Linked DNA regions of Coturnix japonica. The protein of the gene in region 1 purifies or fractionates together with the protein of each later gene. This does not show direct contact. Links are inferred from orthologs where the notes say so. Each region holds a gene or a part of one and is shown on either strand. Other genes may lie near its edges.

Region 1 (4,604 bases):
AGTTGCTGAAGATGCAATAAAGAAATGTTTGTCGAAGCTGCAAACTAATTATGCAGGGATTAATGCACACTTGTACTATGCAGCCATACTGTGTTGTTTTCTGTTACTCAGACATTTTCTTTCTAGGTTTGTTATGCTCGAGTTCTTGATTATAGAAGAAAGTTCATTGAGGCTGCCCAAAGATACAACGAGCTGTCCTATAAGAGCATAGTTCATGAAAGCGAGCGACTGGAGGCACTGAAGCACGCTTTGCATTGCACTATTCTGGCATCAGCAGGTAAAATATGATACTTTTTTATGTAAGAGATCCGAAATACGTATTCCTGAAGCAAGTCAACTTCTGCATTACTGGGGGAAGGAGCTGAGGAATCGAATCCAGAGTTGTGAGCATGGTGTCAGGGTTAATTCAGAGCTGGAGTACTTGTTTATTTGCCAGTGGTGTGGGGCCATTTAAAGATGCAAAATAAAGTCAGTGGCAAGCAGTGCTTTGGAACTGAATGCAACCCAGTCTTCTCTGGTAGAACTTTGTTGATTGTATGTGTTAGAAAGAGAGAGATCTTTGTTGTTTATCTGCCAATACTCAACTTCTTGGTGGCAACTTATGAGGATTCTTCATGGCTCTCTTAGGACAGCAGCGTTCTCGCATGCTTGCTACACTTTTTAAGGATGAGAGATGCCAGCAGCTTGCAGCCTATGGGATTCTGGAGAAAATGTACCTTGACAGAATTATTCGTGGAAACCAGCTGCAAGAGTTTGCAGCTATGCTAATGCCTCACCAGAAAGCAACTACAGCTGATGGTATGTATTTCTCTAAAGCCTCACAGCGCTGCTTGTTCATCCAGGTTTGCCCTTTGCGTCCCTAAGGGTAACAGAAAAAAGCATCATGTGATCATTTAAGGTTATTTCCCACAATGCAAAATAAAAGGTTCAAAGCTACTTGTATTAAAAAAAAATTCACCACAGGAAATCTTTCTGATCACTTTCTTTATTTGTGGCGGTAGGCTGATGCCATGCAACAAGATGCACCTGTACTTTCTGCATGTATAACCTTCAGAAAAAAAAAACACACTTTGCATCTGTTCTACAATATAAACCAAATATCTCATTTATATTAATGAATTGTTGTCTCATTCAACCCATAAGGTTCCAGTATCCTGGACAGAGCTGTTATTGAACACAATTTACTATCTGCAAGCAAACTTTACAACAATATTACCTTTGAAGAGCTTGGAGCATTACTAGAGATCCCTGCAGCTAAGGTAATGGCTTCCAACACCTTTTGTTAAAAGAAAAAGCAACACAAAGCAGCAGGGATGTAAGAATAGCTCTAGTCAATATTAGGAAAATTAGTTTACTGATAGGAAATTAAATATTCAATACTGGACACATGACAGAAGTTAAGTTAGCACATTTTATGAGAAGGAAGGGGACACAGTATAGAAGGGACAGTAACATATTTTGATGCCACTAAGTATGTCAGTTGGTGCATGATGAGATGTTTTCGGTATGGTTCTGCCTATATCCCCATGTAGATGAAAAACATATAAGGACTATCAAACTTGTAATGGATTATCACTTCTTTCAGAATGGATCAGATACCTAATATCGTTCTTTCTCCCTTATTTCAGGCAGAAAAAATAGCTTCTCAGATGATAACTGAGGGACGCATGAATGGATTCATTGATCAGATTGACGGAATTGTTCATTTTGAGAGTAAGTTGGGATTTTTATTTTTTTTTAATTTAATTTGTTTTGTACCATTCAGAATTGTCCTTTTGAGTTGTTGTCTAGTAAAGCAAACAGATTGTTTACAACTGCTATCTATGATGTATGCTGTATAATGCTGTAGCCAGGAGGTGGCAGTATTTTGCATAGCAGGGAATCATAAAGTGGCTTGAGTTGGAAGAGACCTCAAGGATCATCAAATTCCAGCCCCACTGCCACAGGCAGGGATTCTCATCACTCATGTGCCTCTTCCAGGAGGATCAGTGATATTCCCAGGTGCAGAGGTGAAGCTCACTGGCCTGTAGTTCCCCAGGTTGTCCTTCTTCCCTTTCTTATAAGTGGGAGTGACATTTCCTTTTTTCCAGTCACTGAAGACTTCACCTGACAGCCATAACTTTTTATATGTGATGGCAAGCACATCAGCCAGCTCCCTTAGGACCCTGGGATACATGTTGTCCAGCACCATAGACTTGTACATGTTCTGTCTTATGAGATGGTCTTGGACTTTCTCTGCCTGTGCAGTGGAGATCCCACCAAGAGGTTCAGTGATGTGAGATTCAGCGTTGTGAGAAATATGAGAAGCCAGACTGATAGTTAAGACTTAGGCAAAGAACCTCAGCCTTCTCCATATCTGTTGTACACAGTTCTCCTTTGTCGTTTATCAGAGGAGGTACCAGTTTTCACATGTCCCTCTGTTCTGCATTCTTTTATCCATATCAAAGTGTGAATTTATATTGCCAGTCTCCTTGTAGGATATCAGGAATTTCTCTGCTTGCTTTTTTGTAAGGCAGGGGTTAGGTTTGTAATGGGCAGTCAAAGTCATTTAACTTTTGAAGACAGAACAGAGTATGATATAGCCGCAAGGCAGGTCAGAGCAGTACCAAAGGTGAAACTTGCATTTAAACAATGATGGTGAATTGCCAAGACTATACTTTTGTTTTCTGTGGTTTCCTTTTGCAGCTCGGGAAGCTTTGCCAACTTGGGATAAGCAGATTCAGTCCCTGTGTTTCCAGGTGAACAACCTGCTGGAGAAGATAAGTCAGACAGCACCAGAATGGACAGCCCAGGCAATGGAGGCTCAGATGGCTCAGTGACTGCACAGCCATGGTCTTCTGTGCTGGAGGGAAGGAAGCTGAGCAGGACTGTTTGCTGAATGAATAACCCACCTTTGTGTCCACACCTTTCGCTTTCACTCTGCCTTAGGACACATTAGGCGATACTGTGTTTGTTGTGAGAAGTTCCACTGTTCTCTGAGTGTAGGATGAGTTGCTGCATCTGCGTTGTGCTTTGCTGTCCTGAAAGCTGTGGTTTCTGCATAGAAGCTGCCACGTCGGAACGAGCTTGGGTTTTGGTTTATTTAATGTCGTTTGGTTTTCCACCGTATTGCTATAGCTTTGCAGCTTATTACTTCCTAAAGTGTTCATCCCACTGTGAAAAATGGAAGTGCCATGTTTCTTCTACTTGTAATTATTCTAATAAAAGCTGCAGTAAACCACTTGTTTTAAGTGTTGGAGGGACCTGTTGGCTTTTCTTTTACCCCAAAGCAGCAACACAAAATAATTCAAGGTTTTAGAAATGTCTATTTCAACCCCTGAAAATGTAAACTGAGGAAACAACTCGTCAGCTCTTCTGTGCCCTGCTTCTCTATCTGAGAAGTCTTAATGCTGACTGTTCTGCTACATTGGTACAGCAGAAAAGAGATCTGTCTGGTAGTCTGTGGGTTAGAAGTGGCCATGGAAAATAGGTGGAGTAAGAACAAGCATTGTGGTAAATGATTTGAACATAACATGAACCAAATATTGGAAAGCAAGTGGGCACTCCGTTTTCTTCTGTAGGTCAGCAGAAGTTTGATAGCTTAGCAATACTTCATATTGCTACTTCAGTAGGTGGCAGTAGAAGACAAGCAGACCAAGAATGAACGGTGACTGTACTATATGCATCTTTGCCACTCTCTCTTCATCAACAGCATCAAAACTTAAAGTTGACTTTGGCTAATCATTGGATAAATGATTTTATCTCCAGTTTACCTTTAAGGTATCTCTTTAAAAACTTTCCCGATAGTTTTGAAGCCTTGTATAGTAGGAAAAAAAGCCCCATGTTTATGTAGACAGTGTAAGACAGGCACCCATTCAGAGTATCAACAGAAAAATACACTCAAATGCTTGTGATGAGGCTTTTGTTCAGTTTAGTAAAGTTCAGGGATTTCTTTTGGGCCTGAGATGTGAACTGCTGTGATGTCTTAAGTTCACTTCCTTAGCTACTCACACCTTTAGAGCTTGGAATATTCAGCATAACCTCGGTTAACAACTACTCTGGAGAGGGTCAGACATCACTGCCTCATTGCTCTAAATGGGTTCACTGTTGGCATAGCTTATCCACAAAGGTTGCTTATGTTTGTATTTGACTCAATTTATGTTCTCGTTGACCCTTCAGTACTCAGTGACCCATGCAACATATGTTTTTTTTTATGGACGTGGGGTTAACTTAGATGCACACACTATTGTCTGCTGAATCCTACAAGGAGAATGATTTGTGCTTCTGCAATAACAGTAATTTCACCTTGTTACAACAGAACATGTTTTATTTTTTGGCCATGACTTCACTCATTTTGCAGTTCTCCTCTGGGAAAAAAAAAGCAATTTCAGGAACATCTGAATTTAAAAGGAACAGTTGTACAGAGACACCGTTTCCAAAACAAAGATAAACACAAAGGACTTGCTTGGCACAGGGGCTGATAGAAAAGATAGCAACTGGAAAATAATTGTGTTTGCTAATAGTAAATACGTAACTTCCTTCTCAAAGAGTGACACTGTGATATGGGCATTCACAAAACCTTAACAGATCTTAATAGTCTTTTTCTATTTAAGATGCTGGTGTTT
Region 2 (5,074 bases), on another chromosome or scaffold:
TCTAGTAACAAGTAATGATTGGATCCATTATATAGCGAGTAAAACTTCATGTTTTAATTGAGGAGACCTAGAGATGTATATGGAAAGAGCACTATTTGGATTTATTGAGGATTATTTGGAACTGCAAATGCTTTCAAGAGATTAGGGTCACTCCTGTGGTGCGCAGTGTGAACTCATTAAACAAAGTAAACCTTTCTATCCAGCTCACCTCCATGGGTGATAAGGTTGGTTTTGACACTGATGGGATTTCTTACTTACATCTATATCAGAGCTATGCAGTGTGGTCGGTAGATGGTATTAGTGAAGGGCTGTGTGTGTTGTTCCTTGAAAACATAGGGAGGTTTATTGGAGAGCTGCCAGTTCCTGTGCTGGACAGAAGCTTTGCAATTAACCGTTCATCTCTAGGCAGTCCCAGCAACATCGGAATATCCACGAAGGAGATTTGCTCAATGGCTGGCAAAGATCATCTCTGGAATCTGACCTCAAAAGTTACTGGCGAGCTAGTTTTCCTTAATAGGTGCTGTACAGATTCTCTGGATAGTCTTTTATTTTTAAAGAAGATAAATAAATGCTGGCAAGATCATTGCAGACAAATGGTAAGTTGAGTGTTTGTTCAGAATGTGTATCCTTGAGAAGTACAGCCTGGCAAAAGGGAGCTTTTAACTTGGGTCTGTGATGCGCTTCCTCCAAGTTTCAGTAGGACTTTTCGCTTTCCCCTTTACTGGCTGGGAGCCGTTCTGTTGTCAAAAGTTACATTCTGCTGTGTTATTGGTTTGCTCTTCATTGATTTCCTAGTGGTAACCAGCTAGAATATCACTCAGAAACATATTGACTCTAGTGAAATCATTCAGCAACCAATTCTTCAGTCTTTGCTTATAGATCACTCCAACTAGGTTAATTTGTGGCTTTTATTTTGTATTTTTTTTCAAAACAGAGCTGAATATCCTGACTTACTGGGCTGAGAAACAGGAAGAAAACGACTCATAAGAATTGGCCTTTTAAGATACTACTTCATTATAATTCTAAGTTTTCCTTGCATTGTCACCAAGCTCTGGCTACAGGTGCCCAAAATTGTGGGGCACCCAAATTACTTCCTTTTCCCTCCCCCATGAGGGATGGGCAGGGATGTGTATGTGCATTTTATCTCGAATGAAACGGATAGTGTTGTGGAAAATATTCTGAACAAATTCTGCAGTCTGATGAAATTAAGGTTGAAGGTTATTACCTTGAAAGTTTGATTAAACTGGACCTGTGTTTTTATAAATATATGGTGTTTTCTTTCTGTGAACTCTGTTCTCTTTAATTACTTTTGAGAGTTCCTTTTGTTGGTTTTACTTATTCATGTTTATTCATCAGATCAACAACCCTGTAGGAAGTGGCTTTCTTGTCCAGGTGCTGAGGTAGTACCTGTGGTGTTCAAGAAAACAAAACAAAACCGATCTTGTTGCTATTTTACTTTAACGTGGTTGGCTAGAAATTGTGTGAGCTTGAGAATTGCTTTAGAAGCACTGAAATCCTTTAGAGGAGGATTGAGTAGGCATCTGAGGATAGGCAATTCAGTAGCTGGCCTGGCAGTGAGTTATGTATGGACATCCTGAGGTACTGTAATGCTAAATTAAAAGCTGAGCAGCCTTTTGAATGAAACATTTTTAAGTGAAATATGTGACAGCAGTTTACTGACAGTTGATAACTATGCTTGAGTAAATATGTATCTCAGTAGCACTAAGACTTAAACAGCACTAAGGCCAATAAAACTATTCCATTAATTGCTTATGAATTTGAAAATTGTCTTGAATCTATTCAGTTACAGTGATTAGTCATAGCATTAATGTTAACAAATGACATACCAGTAGAGATGCAGGTCACCAGAAGAGTCAAAAATAGGTGTAGCAGCAATGAAAAATCATGTGTCTGCAATGTAATTTTCCAGAATCTGCCTTATAATTTAAAGTGTTACATGCTGTCAAAGAGAAAAAATGTTTCCTTGATGTGTTTTCAGATCATGATCAGAAGCATTTTCTTATTTTTGGATCGTACATACGTACTTCAGAACTCAATGCTTCCTTCTATATGGTAGGTATCTGCATGTGTGCTCCTTTAGTCTGTACAATTTGTGCTGTATTTATAAAGGTTGAAAATATAATTTTTTTTTTTCCTCACAATATATTTGAGCTGTGTAGTAGGTTGATTAAATTTTTGTGTTAATTTATGGAAAATTAATTCTGTAATATCCACCTTCCCCAGGAGGTAATATGAGGGTAAAATAGGAAGGTCACTGTGGATCAGCTGCCAAGTTTGGGTGAGGCTGCTGCCCCTGGGCCTTCTCTTTCAGTCTAGTGGTTCTTCAGGTGTTCCTGGTTTGGCAAAGTTCAGAGCTTGGCTATTGGCTCTGTTGTTTTAAATGTTAGGTGCACTCACAAGGTGCAGATCATGTTTCCTGCCCTGGCCTTTTGTGAGTTGAGACCCGGGCTCAGAGCTCTGAGGTTAACCCCTGCTTGCTCCTGCAGTTTGAGCACCCCACAGCCACGTCTGTTTCTCAGCGTCCTTCCTGAGAGACATTTTGTATAATCACCAAGACAAACAAATCCATACTTTGCCACAATTTTCTGGTGTCTGTATTCTGTCTAAAGCAAGAAAAGATGTAGATAAAATACTGAAGTAGCAGCGTGCCTCTTCCCTGCGTATATTACTTCTGTGCTCTCCCCTCAGGATGGGGAGGAAGATGGCAGCTTTTTGTGATAGTTCTTCTTATAGAATATATACATGATTAATAAATTCTCTCTGTGTAACGTATAGGTGAGCATAATAGGTGAACAGTTGGACCGGATGATCTTTTAGGTCTTTTCCAACCTTGGTGATTCTATGATTCTATATTTATATATAATACGTATACACACATATTTTCTTTAACATGCAAATTTGAAAAGAACCAACAAAGTGATGTCTTAATTTTCATTATTCACACAGGGACATGGGGCTGGAATTATTTAGGAATCATGTCATTAGTGATAAACAAGTTCAAAACAAGACTATTGATGGAATCCTCCTGCTGATTGAAAGAGAACGAAGTGGTGAAGCAGTGGACCGAAGTTTGCTGCGTAGTTTGTTGAGTATGCTGTCTGATCTGCAGGTGAGTACAGCAAACCTCAGCCATTACCACTAGTTTTAGAAACTGACTTTGGACTATTCTGGCGTGTGTGTTATACAGAAATAATTTTATTCTAGTAAATATGTGCTTCAAAATCTGGCAAACAGATTGAGAAGGCGGTTCCCTTTTCTTTGCCCAATCCACAGTCGTTCATTCTGTTTTTTAAGTGAGATTTCTGTGCTTGTTTTCTTCTTAGTTGCGACATGTCTGTGTTATTTGCTTGTTTCTGCTTTCCATGTTAACTTTTCTGACTTTCGTCCATAACACAAAAGATTTAGAACTGATAATTCTGTTCAAGAGAGAAGAAGGACTTCTTATGATATGAAAAATCATTAGCAGATCTGAAGACGTAGATCTGATTTGTGTGCTCTTTCCCACTTTTTTTTCCTGTTACTTGGCAGTCTTCTCTTAACTGCATCAGTTTTTTGTAGGTATTACCAGTGAGTGCTACTGTTTTGTTTCATTTTTGTTTAGCAAAATACACTGCTAACTAAAGGCATCTCCTCTATTAGATCCTTCTTACAGGTCTGCATTTCAATCTGCAGTCTTCTTCACTCTCTCAGAAGTGTTTTCTTTCTTCACTCTAGAACCTAACAAAGTGTATTCTTTTATATTATCAGGCATGAGTGTGCTTTTGATCCTGCCTCCAGGATCTCTGCTTCTCTCTCCTCTTTCATTGGAGGTTAGCTTGTGGTGAAAGATGAATTAAGAACGCAAATCTTATATTTCATTCAAAAATAATTAAGCTCTTTCTCATTCCTGATTTTTAGGCAATTACAAAATTGGAGACCAACTGCTGAAAGCTTATTCCTGCTTGCATCAATCTTGTTCTATTGCAGTTCCCTGTTGTAAAGCTTTATACGTGGTCTGTGTAGAAATAACTCCTTATTACGTTAGCATAGGTCAGAAAGTTAGTGAAGGAAAGGAAGGTAAGATATAAAGTCTTGGGTTTGATTCAGTTTAAAGAGATGGCTAAAGCAATCAGTTAGTGTCTGCTTATGACATTGAATACTATTACACTCTGAATACCTGTCAAGCCAGAGATTTTGTTTGATGCGCTGAGGAAAAAGCCAAATATTTGAAAGTACTTCCTTATCAGCTTTGTTCCTAAGGCACGTTACTGAGAGTATCATCATTTTACTGTTGGGAATTACCTGTTTTGTTTTCCCAGTTGGAACTGGCCCAGAAATATCAGTGGGGGTTTTGAGCTCACGTGGATTAGATGTCATTGCTGTGCTGTTGTGTTGAGTGCTGGTGTTTGTGTGAATTAAACAGAAACCTGTCAGTTTAGACACGCTGGGAAGTCAACTTTAATTGTAGTCTTTCTAAAACCAGTGGGGAAAAAATCAGATTTCTGCATTTATATAATTTTAAACATTTATTTTGCCTTCCTGAGATTTTACTTGCCTCCAAGTAAACCAGGGTACGCTACTTTTAATGGCAGCTTAATGTAAGTAATTAAATTGATTTCTTGAACAGGTTTACAAAGAATCATTTGAACAGAGGTTTCTGGAAGAGACAAATTGCTTATATGCTGCAGAGGGCCAAAGATTAATGCAAGAAAGAGAGGTAGGTGCATGCTGTAGTTAACTGGTTTTATTTTAGTTCCATCTGCTATGGGATTATGTGGGAACTTCTGGTAGCACCACAGAGTGAATACTAAAAGAAATTTACAAGGGTAAATGATGATTATGCTTTGGGGACTGTGGTATTGTATCAAAGAGAAGAACCAATTCCAGTTTGCCATGATGTTGGGTATATGTATAGATATCTAGTATTTGTATATTGCATATAGAAACACAAATGAAGGGTAGGGAAGTCAAGTGACATTTTTTGTTGCTAAAGTCATGCTGCCAGAATGCTCATCTCCATGTAAAGCTTAAAAGCGTGCCATGAATATGGTATTTTTCTGAAAAGCTGTGAAAT
Region 3 (5,074 bases), on another chromosome or scaffold:
ATAGGTTAAAAAGAACTTGCTGGAAGATGTGCTAGGAATCCTCCCCAAGTGGAGCTTGTGTTAGCTGATACCTGGGGACAGCAATGCTCTTGTGTATGGATTTAGGCTCCCAGTGGAGGAAGCTGTGGTCGTGCTTGTTGGTGAGTGATGTTTTTCTATTTCCTTCTGCCGTCTGAGTTACTTGGAAGAAAACTTCCCTTTGTGCACGGGTGCCTGGTGAAATGTGATTCTGAGGCAGCAGAGGTGAGGGCACAGGAGTGAGTGTTTAGACAACAGCAGGAGCACCGTGTTTTGACTTCAGCTCCACAGACCAAATATGGGGTATGGTGTGTTGCAGTGCGGTATTGCAGAGCATCCTGTCTGTAGTCTGTTAGAAAGGTGCCTCAATATTGTGCCTTTTGCATCAGTGGCAGTGTTGCAACTTGAATGTCCCCACAACCTCCTTCTTTGCCTTCTAAGTGAGCTAACTTTTAAGTTTCAAAGGTGATCTGCAGGGACAGTTGTAAACAATTTGGGGAAAAAAAGAGTCCACAGTTGGGGGGGGGAAGAACACCTGTCCCTCATGTAGAACCTTGTGTGGGTAGAGAACCAGCTTAATATCAAGTGAATAAAGGAAATGTTGAAACCTGCATAAAAGCTCAGCACTTCTGTGTTTGTTCTTTTCGTGTTTGCTGTTAAAGCCTTTTGTGTCATATGTCTGTATTAAGAGGTGAGAATTAGCTTTAGTAGTTTGTCAGTTCTCAGTAGAAATGATAGGAGAGCAGAATAAGCTCTCCTAGAATAAGCCATAGTTGCATCCAAGGCACTTCATAGTTACTCTTTGTATGCCTTCAGTCAAAGAAATATTTGATTTGTGGGTTTGTTGTTGTTTTTTTTTCTTTCAAAGCCAATTTTGAAGAGGCAATGCTTTCATATTTTGGTCAAATGATTGCGCCTAATTGTCTCAAAATAAACACAACCACCCAAAGCTGATAATCAGTGATTCGTGTGCCTGTTTCATCCAGGCTGTGATAATGTTGTCATCCCTGGAAGCACTCAGCAGCTTCAGCTGTTTGGCTGCCTCCCTAAACACCATGGACTAAGGAGAGTGCTCAGCTCACTTTCTGTGCTGCCTGTCAGTCTTTCCTGGCATGTACTCAGTATTATCACCTAAAAAGACGTAGCAAATCTAGGGTTCAGGTTCTCAACTCCCCATTTGTCCCAGTTCTGTCAGCAGGTGCTTCTCAAGCTATTAGTTCCCATTGGAAAAATGAGGAGCTGGCAATAGGTACTTCAGTAGTTAGCCTTTGCCAGAAAGCCAGAAGAGCTTGAGCTGTGCCACCTGTTAGCAAGGGATGCAATTTGCATCTCTTCACATTCAGCCTTACTAAAAGGAAATATTAAAACCTTGCAGGATAAATGGTTTGATATAGCAATTAATTTGAGAGGAGCAGGGAAGTACTTGATCCCGATGAGCTAATTTTGTGTTCTTACAGTCTGAGCAGGCTTTATAGCATCATCTTCTGTCCTACTGGTTAGTCAGTGTAGTTCACAGAGGTGGGTTTAAATAAGCTTTTTGCCTCTGGTTGACCTTGGCAATTTGTTTTCTGGAAAGTGTCATTAATGCAGCAGAAGTCAATGGCATTCTGTAAGGGAATCCTCTGGGGAAATGTTTCTGGGGATTGCTGCAGCCTTCTAGCAATTCTCCCTCCTTTCTAATAACCTCGACTTGCCTCCCCGGTTTGGAGGTATTAAAAACTTGATTCAAAATGCTGCACTGCCTGTAGGTTCTGCACTGTGCTTCAGAGCTCAGCAGAGGGGAGGGAATCAGGTTGTACACCAAGGCAAGGGGATGAATCTGCTGATGTTTTTGAAATACTGCTCTAACATGAGTAAATAAACAGTACTGGCACCTTCAGAGCATCACACCTGTCTGTCACTGGGGTCATTGATAAGGTCTCAGCATGTTTTGGAGGGCTGGTGGGGAATGGGATGTCAGAAGCAAGGCTCTGTATTCACCCTTCTGGGTGGGCAGTCTGAAATCCTCTGGATGCCATTCAAATGAAAGCTGATAAGCTGTTTGATAGTACTGTGACAAGTAGGCTAACACAAGGAGCTGCGTACTGGGGCAGGATAGAGTGGATTGTGCTTATTTTATGTCGTTCCTTCTATAGGATGTCTGAGTTGATTGAGAAGGAGACTGAAGAATACCGCAAAGGGGATCCAGACCCTTTTGATGACCGACACCCAGGTAAGGAATTCTGAATGATTTAGTCAGCTCTGCATCAGCTGGTATATGGTAATTCATATTTAAAAGTAAGCGGAATCTTGCCTAATTCTGTTCACTACTGATCAGTGTCTGTTGTGACTAGTATATGTTTTAAGTAGGTAACTGCAACTAGAGGAAACTCTGACTTGATCAGTAATTCATATGACTTCTATAGTTCTGTATCTAAGAGAGGTACAGCTGACTGCGTTATTCCACAGTCAGACTGAAGTCAGTAGTTTAGCACTGATCTTGAAGTCTTGAGGTACATACGTCTTTTCCTGTTTCCTCTACAGGTCGAGCAGACCCTGAGTGTATGCTTGGTCACTTACTAAGGATACTTTTCAAGAATGATGATTTCATGAATGCGGTAGGTTTGCTCTGAGGACGGTACCTGTCAGGTCTTCTTAAGACTTTAATGTTTCTGTTTCCTGTGTTACTGACCTCAGTACTTGTGCTTGTTTAATATTAATTTTACTGTTGGTGGGTCTGTTTTTTCCTTAGCAGTAGCCTTTAAAGTGTGTTTGAATGCAGCTTGTTTGCTGCTGCTAGAGTGACCCAAGGAAAGGGGCAGTTCATCAGCTATTCAAGAGTACTGGAATATGTGTATTAATGATTGAATTAGTACTTCTCAGCATTTATTGGTCTCTTTAAAGAAAGTGCGGGTCCCCTGATAAAAGTTTAAAAGCATAATTAATTTCTGTAGTAGAAATTAACTACTAATTCCAGTGCTTTGTCTGTGAATACTTGGAAATGCTGGAGTGCCTGTATGAGCAGGTGTATCTGCTCTAGCAGGCTCAGGCCAAGCACTTGGAGACAAGAGTCTGGCTTTTCTCTTGCACTGCTCTACCCATACATGAGTTAATAGCTAGAGTTTTTGTTGCCCTCATCTCAGTGCACCCCCTGTATCAGTGCATGTTGCTGTAAGTTTTCTACCAGATGACTTACGTGGAGCTTTCTGTCTTAAACTGCAACTGATAAACAAAAATGCCATTAAGAAAGTGTGGTATTTCTTGTGTATTTGTGTTTTTTTAATGTTTTTTTTCCTCCCCAGCTATTACTCTCACATGATTACACTGTTACTGAGCTGTAATTATTTTAGGCATTTGTCTTAATGAATCAGCTCAAGAAAAGTATTTAAGCAGTGAACATCAGATCAGAGGGGAATTGTGCTTCTTAGAGAAGTTATTTCTACTCCTGAATTTCAAACTGATGCTTTTCCTCTTCTTTTCTAGCTAGTGAATGCTTATGTGATGACGAGCAGAGAACCTCCATTAAACACTGCTGCCTGCAGACTTCTTCTGGATATCATGCCAGGATTGGAAACTGCTGTTGTCTTTCAGGAAAAGGTATCTTGTATATGAGGCTTAGTTTATAAGCTTGGTGTATTACGTACTCCAACAGCTCATCCCACAGGAGAAACCAGTAAAAAGCAGCATTTAAATCCTACCTCTGGGAGACAATCTGTTTAGCCTTATGAAAGGTTTGAGGCTTTCTGATGTGGGCTTGTTCAGCTGATCAAATCTTGAGTATTGCACAGCTTGGAGGTTTTAAGAGGACTGATTCAAACAGAGGAACTGGAATTCTGTGTGGTACATTCAGCATATCTCTGGGATGGGAGGTCATGCAGGGAGATCTAGACAGGTTTGTGCAATGGGCCTTGAAGAACCTCATGAGGTTCAACAAAGCCAAGTGTGAGGTCTGGCACCTGAGTCATGGTAACCCCTACTATCAGTATAATCTGAGGATGTAAGGATAGAGCAGCTCTCTGCTGGTGAGACCTGGAGTACTGCACCCATATATGGAGTCCTCAGTACAGAAGAGAGCATGTCCAGAGGAGGACCACAAGAACACCTTCCCTGTGAGGGCAGGCCGAGAGAACGCTTCAATTAAAATTTAATTATTATTGAATATATAATACCCAATTCTTCAAAAAACTGTAAGCTGGAGGTTCTTACTGCAGCGTGTCCATTTGTTATTACTATTAACTGATCTTTTACTGTGTTGTACCTACATCTCAAATTATGTGCAGGGCTGTGTGCAAGGTCTTGTCATGCTAATGATGTTATGGTTTGGTGTTTCAAAATCCAATAATGATCTACAGGAAAAAATAATAGAGTCTTTCATTCTAACATGTAGTCTTTTAATTAACTATTTTAATCAACACTTCTTTGGCATTCAGCCTTGTTAAGAAAAGTTGCCTGGCAGGCCATGTTCAACCACTTCTGAGTTTTACTGTTAAAATATTAACAGTATTTAACACTGTGGTTTTCTATATGTGGGTTGGTATAATGGCATACATTTCTCCCTTCCCCAATCAGTACATTTTTACAGCTGTTGAGGATTGCTCTTTTGATTGGTGAGAAATTGTTAATGTAAAGGGTTCCTTCTGCACCAGGAAGTTTGCTTGTTTAAAGTGACTTTTCAACTACGAAGCTGTTAGAGAAATGTAATTTACCACTTTATTTTATTTTTAACTTAGTGTAAATTCAACAGCATTTCTTTGGAACTGCCAAATTGCTGGAGAGCTCTATTAGTAAAACTGACAGGAAAAAGAAATGCTCAACTCTTGGAATTGCTTTCTTGTTTTCTGCGTTCTAGGAAGGCATAGTTGAAAATCTCTTTAAATGGGCACGTGAAGCTGATCAGCCACTAAGGACGTATGCAACAGGGCTTTTAGGAGGAGCTATGGAAAACCAAGATATCGCTGCGAATTACAGGGATGAGAATTCACAATTGGTAATGATCTCTTGATGCGCACTTTCGTTTACAGGACGGATAGCTCTCTCTTTATTGAGAGCATGTGGTGACACTCTCATGTATGTGTTG

The links.
Region 2: the proteins of COPS4 (region 1) and CUL4A purify together in Homo sapiens (affinity purification with mass spectrometry; 7 studies listed by BioGRID and IntAct, with this or other methods). This does not show direct contact. The link is inferred for Coturnix japonica from reciprocal best matches to the Homo sapiens genes COPS4 and CUL4A.
Region 3: the proteins of COPS4 (region 1) and DCAF1 purify together in Homo sapiens (affinity purification with mass spectrometry; 4 studies listed by BioGRID, with this or other methods). This does not show direct contact. The link is inferred for Coturnix japonica from reciprocal best matches to the Homo sapiens genes COPS4 and DCAF1.

What each region holds. Positions count from the first base shown.
Region 1 is NC_029519.1:41,185,712-41,190,315, reverse strand, and holds the end of COPS4 (COP9 signalosome complex subunit 4), read left to right. Parts: intron 1-126; coding exon 127-277; intron 278-627; coding exon 628-798; intron 799-1,143; coding exon 1,144-1,259; intron 1,260-1,628; coding exon 1,629-1,713; intron 1,714-2,685; coding exon 2,686-2,819; 3' UTR 2,820-3,235; downstream 3,236-4,604. UniProt on the Homo sapiens protein: Component of the COP9 signalosome complex (CSN), a complex involved in various cellular and developmental processes.
Region 2 is NC_029516.1:123,891,950-123,897,023, reverse strand, and holds part of CUL4A (cullin-4A), read left to right. Parts: intron 1-526; coding exon 527-596; intron 597-1,999; coding exon 2,000-2,073; intron 2,074-2,967; coding exon 2,968-3,130; intron 3,131-4,627; coding exon 4,628-4,717; intron 4,718-5,074. UniProt on the Homo sapiens protein: Core component of multiple cullin-RING-based E3 ubiquitin-protein ligase complexes which mediate the ubiquitination of target proteins. As a scaffold protein may contribute to catalysis through positioning of the substrate and the ubiquitin-conjugating enzyme.
Region 3 is NC_029527.1:1,250,230-1,255,303, reverse strand, and holds part of DCAF1 (DDB1- and CUL4-associated factor 1), read left to right. Parts: intron 1-2,153; coding exon 2,154-2,230; intron 2,231-2,541; coding exon 2,542-2,615; intron 2,616-3,480; coding exon 3,481-3,594; intron 3,595-4,846; coding exon 4,847-4,984; intron 4,985-5,074. UniProt on the Homo sapiens protein: Acts both as a substrate recognition component of E3 ubiquitin-protein ligase complexes and as an atypical serine/threonine-protein kinase, playing key roles in various processes such as cell cycle, telomerase regulation and histone modification.